2 linked regions of the Arabidopsis thaliana genome follow. The protein of the gene in region 1 interacts with the protein of each later gene in a biochemical or structural test. Each region holds a gene or a part of one and is shown in the gene's direction. Other genes may lie near its edges.

Region 1 (3,754 bases):
AAAGCCGGATGAACCTTGAGGTCTCCCATTACTAGCTTTTGTCCGATATCCAATTGGCTTAGATCTACTTCTATATATGGTGGGATAATCTCTGCTGGGCATAGGAACTTTACTGTTCTTTTAATCGTATTCAGAGATGCTCCTGCCAAAAGATTAAGAAATAGTGATCAATATCAAAATCTAACAGGAAACTAGATGCTGCGATCTACAAAATTGGGTAGAGAGTAGCCAGAGAAATGAAACTTCAAAATCCCAAAAATGGGTAGCCAGAGGAAGATACAAGCCATTATAAGATGTATAATGCAAACATAGATTTCTTTTAAATCGAGTTAAAATTTTGTAAAACATCAACCATAACGTCACTTGAAGTGATGATTACTTGCTATCGACTAAGCTTAGCTCAGTCTGATCCAAGAAAGGGTAACTGAAACCCGAGCAGTATCACTTCTCTACAGATTAGAAGCTCAATGAGCTCCAATGACGTCAAGAATATATGTGTGGCCTTAACTACTTCAGGAGTTAGAAACCGTTGTATTAATCCTGCATTTAGCATATCTACTCAAGCGTACAGGACTATTCGTTCACAGCAATCAGAAGTCAAAAACCACATGTTTGATCACTATCTCTCTTCCAAATCTTTAACCACATTTCTCATCTATTTTGTTCATTGCCTATGATTCGAGAAAAGAAAATGCTATCCAGAAACTCATACTAAGAACAGTGATTCCTATGTAAGCACCTTAACAAACTCATGTATATACTCCTCTATTCTCAAATGCTTATCAAAATGCTTCCTTTATTTTCTTTTTGATTCCTCACTAAAGATCCCAATTATAAAAAACTAGCAAAGGGTTTATTACCTTTCTTCAATCCAGGAGAAACATCATCTCCAATGAACACAAGAGGGATATCAACTTTCAACAAAGCACCTGGAGGCGCTCTTATGAATGTCACATTCAGTGGAGCATCAGTCCCAGAGTGCAAATGAATCTGAAATCACATAGCATAACATTTCTAAAAACTCAATACATAAACCAATAATCCAAACACACCACTAAACCAAACATTGAAAAAATGCAAACTTTAATCAATTTCATGAGTGAGAGAAATGGAGACTTTACCGCTCTAGGCAAGGCTCTGACTTTCTCAATAACCTCATCAGAACCAATCTCAGCTCGAACCTCAACATCAAAGAGCCTAGAGAGGAAAAAAGAGTAACCCAAATGATTCACAAGCTTCCTGATCTGATTCGTCTGAACTGAAATAAGCCTCTTGTTTCCTCCGTGTTGTCCATCCTCTTGTTCGAATATGATCGAAGGAACCCGACCCGCTTTACGCTCTTTCGCTGATATGCTCTTGCCGGAGACAGACCTTGGAACGGCTAAGATCGTCTCTGCGTGTTTTGGATCGGGTCGAGGGAATCCAGGGAGGTAAGTTAATTGGGTTTCTTGGATATGATCTAGGGATAGAGCTGCGTTCGCCGCCGGAGAGAATAACCGGAGGTTTTGTAGGGTTTTGGGTAGTGTTTTTGCACGACGGAGCAACATTGTTTGCTTTTTACCAGTGAGAGAGAGAGACGACGACGAAGTGAGCAAATGGGTTTAGGAGCTGTGTTACAGAAATGGGGTTTCTCTAATAAAACGACGTCGTCGTTTCTAGATTATTCAATGGGCTTTAAATGTTATGGGCTTTAACTTAGCTCAACCCATTATAACTGCATTTGATTTGAACAAAGGGCAAAAGTCAGATGCTTAATTCAACGGATATTCCATTTGTTGTTTTTGTAAATGACCAATTTGCTCTTAATGTATACCACAAAGGCTTTAGTGGAATATATTATGGTAAGGGTGAAGTCGTCTGAACAAAAAATATGACTCCATTTAAGTAGCTCGTCTTGTTCTCTCGACAAAGAAAAAAAATTACATTTCTCAGACGTTGCAGTACCTAAAATATTTTTTCATCATGCCATTACCCTATCATTTGTTTTATTATTTGTGTTGTGTTCTCTCATGGAGCTTCTACTATTTCACTTTGTCTTCCATGTACAAGGTAATTGTCTGAGTTATTCGAAACACAATACATCGGTTTGAGCATTTTTGTGTACTTCATTATTTATGGACCATAACTTGAGGTTTCAGTTTGTTTCCGAGCATCTTTTTGTAATGGGCCCATGAGAGAACTGATACTGGGCTTGATCAGATTGATGTCCATTATTTGTGCTTTATTGGGCTCCACTCTTTCTCACTCTCACATTTTTTACAAGGTTTTCTCTTCTTTTTTTTACACCTATTTTCACTTTTCTATGTGTTTTGTTTTACACCTATTATTATATTTTTCTTTGCCTATTATCGTTATTTTCTTTGCCGACTATCATTTTTTTCTAGACGTTATATACTGTTTTAGAATATTACGTTTATTATAATATTAAGAATTTGTTTGATTGTGTCCTTTTTTGACGCAGACAGAAAGAACGTGACGCATGTACGAATGGCTGAATCTTCCTCCACGTGTCCTGCAATTAAAAAAATTAGATCGTACCGCATCATGCGTCAGCCGCGTGACACCTGATCATAACCTAGTTACTTAGCTCAGACATCGCCACGTATACGTCCCTCATGACGGGAAACGTTAACTCTGACGGCGTCACATGTCGACCATTCGTTTTGTGAAATGTATTTTGTGTTCCCATTTGGCTTTTTGCCTTTTTCCCCAAGGTTTGGCTCTAATTAAGTAAACGAACCTGTAGCTTCGGAAGTTCGTATCCGAACCAACCAACGGCTCAGATTAGTTTCATATTTTCAACGGCTGAGATTAGAGTTTCGATTTCTTTCTTCTATTTTAGGCTTCGAGATCTTTTCTTCTCAAAAGGTAAAAACTTTGGGAAGCAGCTAAAATACTGTGTTCTTTGTTTCTTCCATCGAAATCGAAAAAAGCTAAGATCTTTGCGTTTTGAAACGATGGCGGAAGAACATAAGCATGATGAATCTGTGATCGCTCCTGAGCCAGCTGTTGAGGTTGTGGAGAGAGAATCGTTGATGGATAAGATATCGGAGAAGATCCATCACGGTGGTGATTCTTCTTCGTCTTCTTCATCTTCTGATGATGAAGACGAGAAGAAGAAGACTAAGAAGCCCTCTTCTCCTTCGTCTTCTATGAAATCGAAAGTTTACCGCTTGTTCGGACGAGAGCAGCCTGTTCATAAGGTTCTCGGCGGTGGAAAGCGTAAGTTTTTCTCCGATCTGGTTTTACTTTCATATATTTGTGTGTGTTGTGGCTTGATCTGTTTTCTTATATGTGTTGTTTGGTTTATTCTTTCATTTTGATGGATTAGGTTTCATTGATATGTGTGATTTGAATCTGCACTTGTTTAGGGTTTCTATTTTACTCGTTGATCTGAATCGATCCATCGTGTCCATTTGTATTATTGGGGTTCTTTATTTTGGCATTTGTGAGGGTTTAATTAGGGATTCCATTTCTAAATGAATGTTTTGATCATAAAAATGGGTTTTTGACATAATCTCGATATAGAAACCTTACAGTATCAAGTTCCATGTTTTTCTAATGTGGTTGATTTAGATGACAGTATGTTGTAATGTTTGCTCAACTTGATTATTCTTCCTATTTGCAGCGGCTGATATATTCATGTGGAAGAACAAGAAGATGTCTGGTGGTGTACTTGGTGGTGCTACAGCTGCTTGGGTTGTGTTTGAATTGATGGAGTACCATCTTCTCACTCTGCTTTGCCACGTGATGA
Region 2 (3,754 bases), on another chromosome or scaffold:
ACCCAACTCAGATCTACAAGTCACAAAGATCTCTCGGGGGAACAAAAAAACTCGTTCATGGCTTATGCAAACAGATTAAAGACACCCAATCCCAAAACCCTAGAAACCTTCCGAGGAAGAACAAATCCGATTGAAAGAACATTTCGAAATCCGTACCTGAACAAATCGACAAATCTGAAATCTCCCGAGATAAAGTGTCGTCGAATGAAGAAGAAACGCAAGCACAGATCTCAAGAAGGATAACCCAAAGGAGAGAGAGAGAGAAGCAAGTGTAGAGAGAAAAGCTAAAGGAGAAGAAAGCTGTGACTAAACGCGTTCCCGCTCTATGTCTCTGCTTCTGTGCTATTTGAAGACTCCATTTTTTAGTTTAGAAAGAATATTAATATTTTTCTGGAAGGAAAACAATAAATTAAATTCTCTTTAATTTTGGAATATGTCCGGACCCGAAAGTGTCAATGTGGCAAGATTTTATTGGATGATGGAAAAAGAGACATAGACGGAATTCCTAACGGCGGTGGGGTCAACGTAAGGTTTGGCTGTCTGATACACGTTAAAGTGACTCGGATTGCGAGGAGTCCACGTTAAGTCTCCGTTAGCTACTGTTAATTTGGGGAATATGCTGGAGAGAGTTGAGATCAGGTGTTGGCGAGTGCACCGAAAATTCGTGTTCAGATTTATGACATCGCAATTTCTCTGTCGGTGGATTACAAACTGCAATCAAAAGAAAAGCATATGTTAATCTGTCAAGTGAATATTCGTTTTTATTTTCTTTCTATACATAATGTATATGGATAATTCAAACAAAAAGATGTGTAAAATGATAAATATGGGTGTTTATCGTATTTTATATAGTATTAGGATTCATGCAAAAATGCATGGATTGTCTATGATAGTAATTTTGGTAACTATTATTTTTTTATTTTTTTTATTTTTTTTTTCAGCTGGTAACTATTAAATTAGTAGAATTTAAAATAATTTATACTTTTAGGATTCCTATGATAGTATAGGATTTCTATACTATTTTGATATTAGGAGTTTAAAATAAATTACTAACTTATTATTATTTTAAATTATTAGATTTATACTTTTAAAAGTATTAGATATTATATGGATTTTTGTTGTTTACAGCTCTTTTTTTTTTTGGTATTTGAACTCGTATTATAATCGGTTACTGGCATTGATTGATACAAGTCACCAATTACCATCACCGTAAGCACCGTTTTATGATTAATTTTTATGATAAATATACACGTGCATTTCAAATAATTACCATTTTCATATCGGAAGGTTTTGGATAATCTTTCTGACTTTTTGTATGGTAAGAGTTTAATGAGATTGGGATAAAATTGGATAAACATGAATCTCATTGTAAATTGGAGTTAAAAGCATTAATAAGACGATCACATTAACGTAATAATTGCAGTCTACATTCAAAACAAATCTGAGAATGTATGCTTTAACTTTTTCCTTTAATGTCAATGGAATCACTCTTCGTATCCATTTAGAAAAGGAAACTAGATCGTATAATTTAGGAAAGGCTTACGTCGTGTCGTGTCATTCCCTAATTTTTTTGGATAATAGTTAGATATCGGAAATAATTGGATAAATTTGGATTAACATAGAACTAAATAGTGTAAGAGTAAAAAAAAAACATTAAATAAGACAGTATAGGGGCTTAAACTTTTTTGTTACCTCAAGGACGATATTTTAAGTAAAGTTAGCTTTCCTTTAATGTCAATGGAAACACTCTTCGTATCCATTTAGAAAAGGAAATGGATCGTGTAATTTTAGGAAAGGCTTTCGTCGTGGCATTACCTCATTGGTCGTGAAGAAGTGAAGATGTGGACTTGTCCGCAGCGGATGATCGGTGGATGGGGTTGAGTAAACGAATGCTCATGCAGTACATTAGATGCTACGTAGGATCATTGTAGATTCCTATCCACGCTTTATTCTTTGGATGATTATTTGCTTAACACCGACGACAATATATTCAAATTTCCTCAATTTGTCAATCGCTCTCTTTTTGCCTAACTCTTATTATTATTATTATTATTTTGCCTAACCTTTGCGTCCCCTTGGAGTTAAATAATTGAGTTTATTTACAAGTGAAGGGATTGAAACAACTTTTTTTTTCCCAGAGCTTAATCGCAACGCAACTCAGAACGAAATATAGAAAAATACATATACTGTATGAATATACTTCATCAATTCTGTAACCTGTTGGGTTGGATCAGTAAGAATAAACTAAACATTTAGTGGACACCAAATCATAAATTTAGCACACAAAAATAAAACTAGCCCAAGGCCCATGGTTCGAAATTTATCAAACCGTAACCGAAGACCACGCGCCGGACCAACACAGATCTCCACGAACAAGATCCAACGGTCCAGATCCATTCCCTCTCCTTCTCCCTCTTCTCTCTAACCAAAAAAAAAAAAAAAACTTCTGAATCTCCGAAAAAAGCCAATCGGGGGAAGAAAAAAATTCAACGGCCGTCTGGTTACTGTCTTGCTTGCTTCCGACGATCTATCTTCCCCGAGTAGATTTGGTACTTCCTTCTTTCGATTTTTAGGTTCTACACAATTGATTCTCGATTTAAATTTTGTCTCCAGTTTTTGCTCTCTTTGCTTACCAGTGATCCGTTTCTCGGAAATTACTTGATTTTGTTAAGAAATGGCTGCTCCTCCTGCTAGAGCTCGTGCTGATTACGATTACCTCATTAAACTTCTGCTGATCGGAGACAGCGGTAGGTTTCTATATCATTCAGATCGTAATACTACCTTTTGTTCCCTGCATTTTATTCAATCTCTATCTTTTTGTTGATTGATTCTCTCGATTTTTGTTGTTGTTGATTACAATTTAAGTTTTGTTTGAAGGATCTTGAGACAACAGTGATTTGAGTAACACATCTTACTCAGATTTGGATCTCATTTCAACAATTGTGAGCATATGATGTTCATAGTCTTCTTAGTTTGGTATTAGGATGGAGGAGAATCACAAATGAATGCTGTAGCTATTTAATTATATTCTCTAGATGTTAATGCCGCAAATGCTTTAGCCAAATTGATTTGAATATTCCTTTGTTGATTGTTGTAAGTAAGTGTTTCACTATGTTCCAGTGGATTATTCTAATGTCTCTGTTTTATCTGACTTTTGCTTTCTTTCATGTACCAGGTGTTGGTAAGAGTTGCCTTCTCTTACGTTTCTCAGATGGCTCGTTTACCACCAGTTTCATTACAACTATTGGGTATGATGTCTTCATGCAATGACACTGTGTTATCACGTCCTCTATGTAGTTCACTGTTCTTACTCAAGTTGCTTTTTGTTTTTGACAGGATTGATTTTAAGATACGGACTATTGAGCTCGATGGGAAGAGAATTAAGCTGCAAATCTGGGATACTGCCGGACAGGAGCGGTTCCGCACAATCACAACTGGTGTGTTTTCGATCTTGCTTTTCGTTTTCTCTTTTTGCTGTTATTTATGCATCTTTGCCTTCCTCGCTGGAATACACCTGAGTAGTTTGTTCTTATTGCAGCGTACTACCGTGGAGCCATGGGGATTTTGCTTGTGTATGATGTGACTGATGAATCATCTTTCAACAGTAAGTACTCTCTTTACTTTTTACTTGCAGTCCTTATGCCACCCAACAAGCTCTTGCAACGGTTCTAAACTTTATATTTTTCCATTTGCTAGCTTTATTATTTTCTACTCAACTAATTTGTTCTTTTTCATCCTTTGTTTTCTTCAATTC

What was found. Proteins that work in one complex are often made in the same cells at the same time.
Region 2: the proteins of BTI1 (region 1) and RAB8 form a complex in vitro, tested with the Arabidopsis thaliana proteins (one study listed by BioGRID).

What each region holds. Positions count from the first base shown.
Region 1 is NC_003075.7:12,315,113-12,318,866, forward strand, and holds the start of BTI1 (VIRB2-interacting protein 1), read left to right. Parts: upstream 1-1,923; 5' UTR 1,924-2,049; intron 2,050-2,060; exon of another isoform or gene 2,061-2,263; intron 2,264-2,461; 5' UTR 2,462-2,957; coding exon 2,958-3,222; intron 3,223-3,628; coding exon 3,629-3,754. Other genes in the region: AT4G23620 (Ribosomal protein L25/Gln-tRNA synthetase, anti-codon-binding domain-containing protein), read right to left, coding at 1-142, 861-990, 1,083-1,547. UniProt on the Arabidopsis thaliana protein: Plays a role in the Agrobacterium-mediated plant transformation via its interaction with VirB2, the major component of the T-pilus.
Region 2 is NC_003074.8:19,877,185-19,880,938, reverse strand, and holds the start of RAB8 (RAB GTPase homolog 8), read left to right. Parts: upstream 1-2,146; 5' UTR 2,147-2,244; coding exon of another isoform or gene 2,245-2,397; 5' UTR 2,398-2,549; exon of another isoform or gene 2,550-2,672; 5' UTR 2,673-2,674; coding exon 2,675-2,747; intron 2,748-3,175; coding exon 3,176-3,248; intron 3,249-3,336; coding exon 3,337-3,437; intron 3,438-3,538; coding exon 3,539-3,604; intron 3,605-3,754. Other genes in the region: AT3G53611 (uncharacterized protein), read right to left, coding at 2,245-2,397. UniProt on the Arabidopsis thaliana protein: Involved in membrane trafficking from the Golgi to the plasma membrane.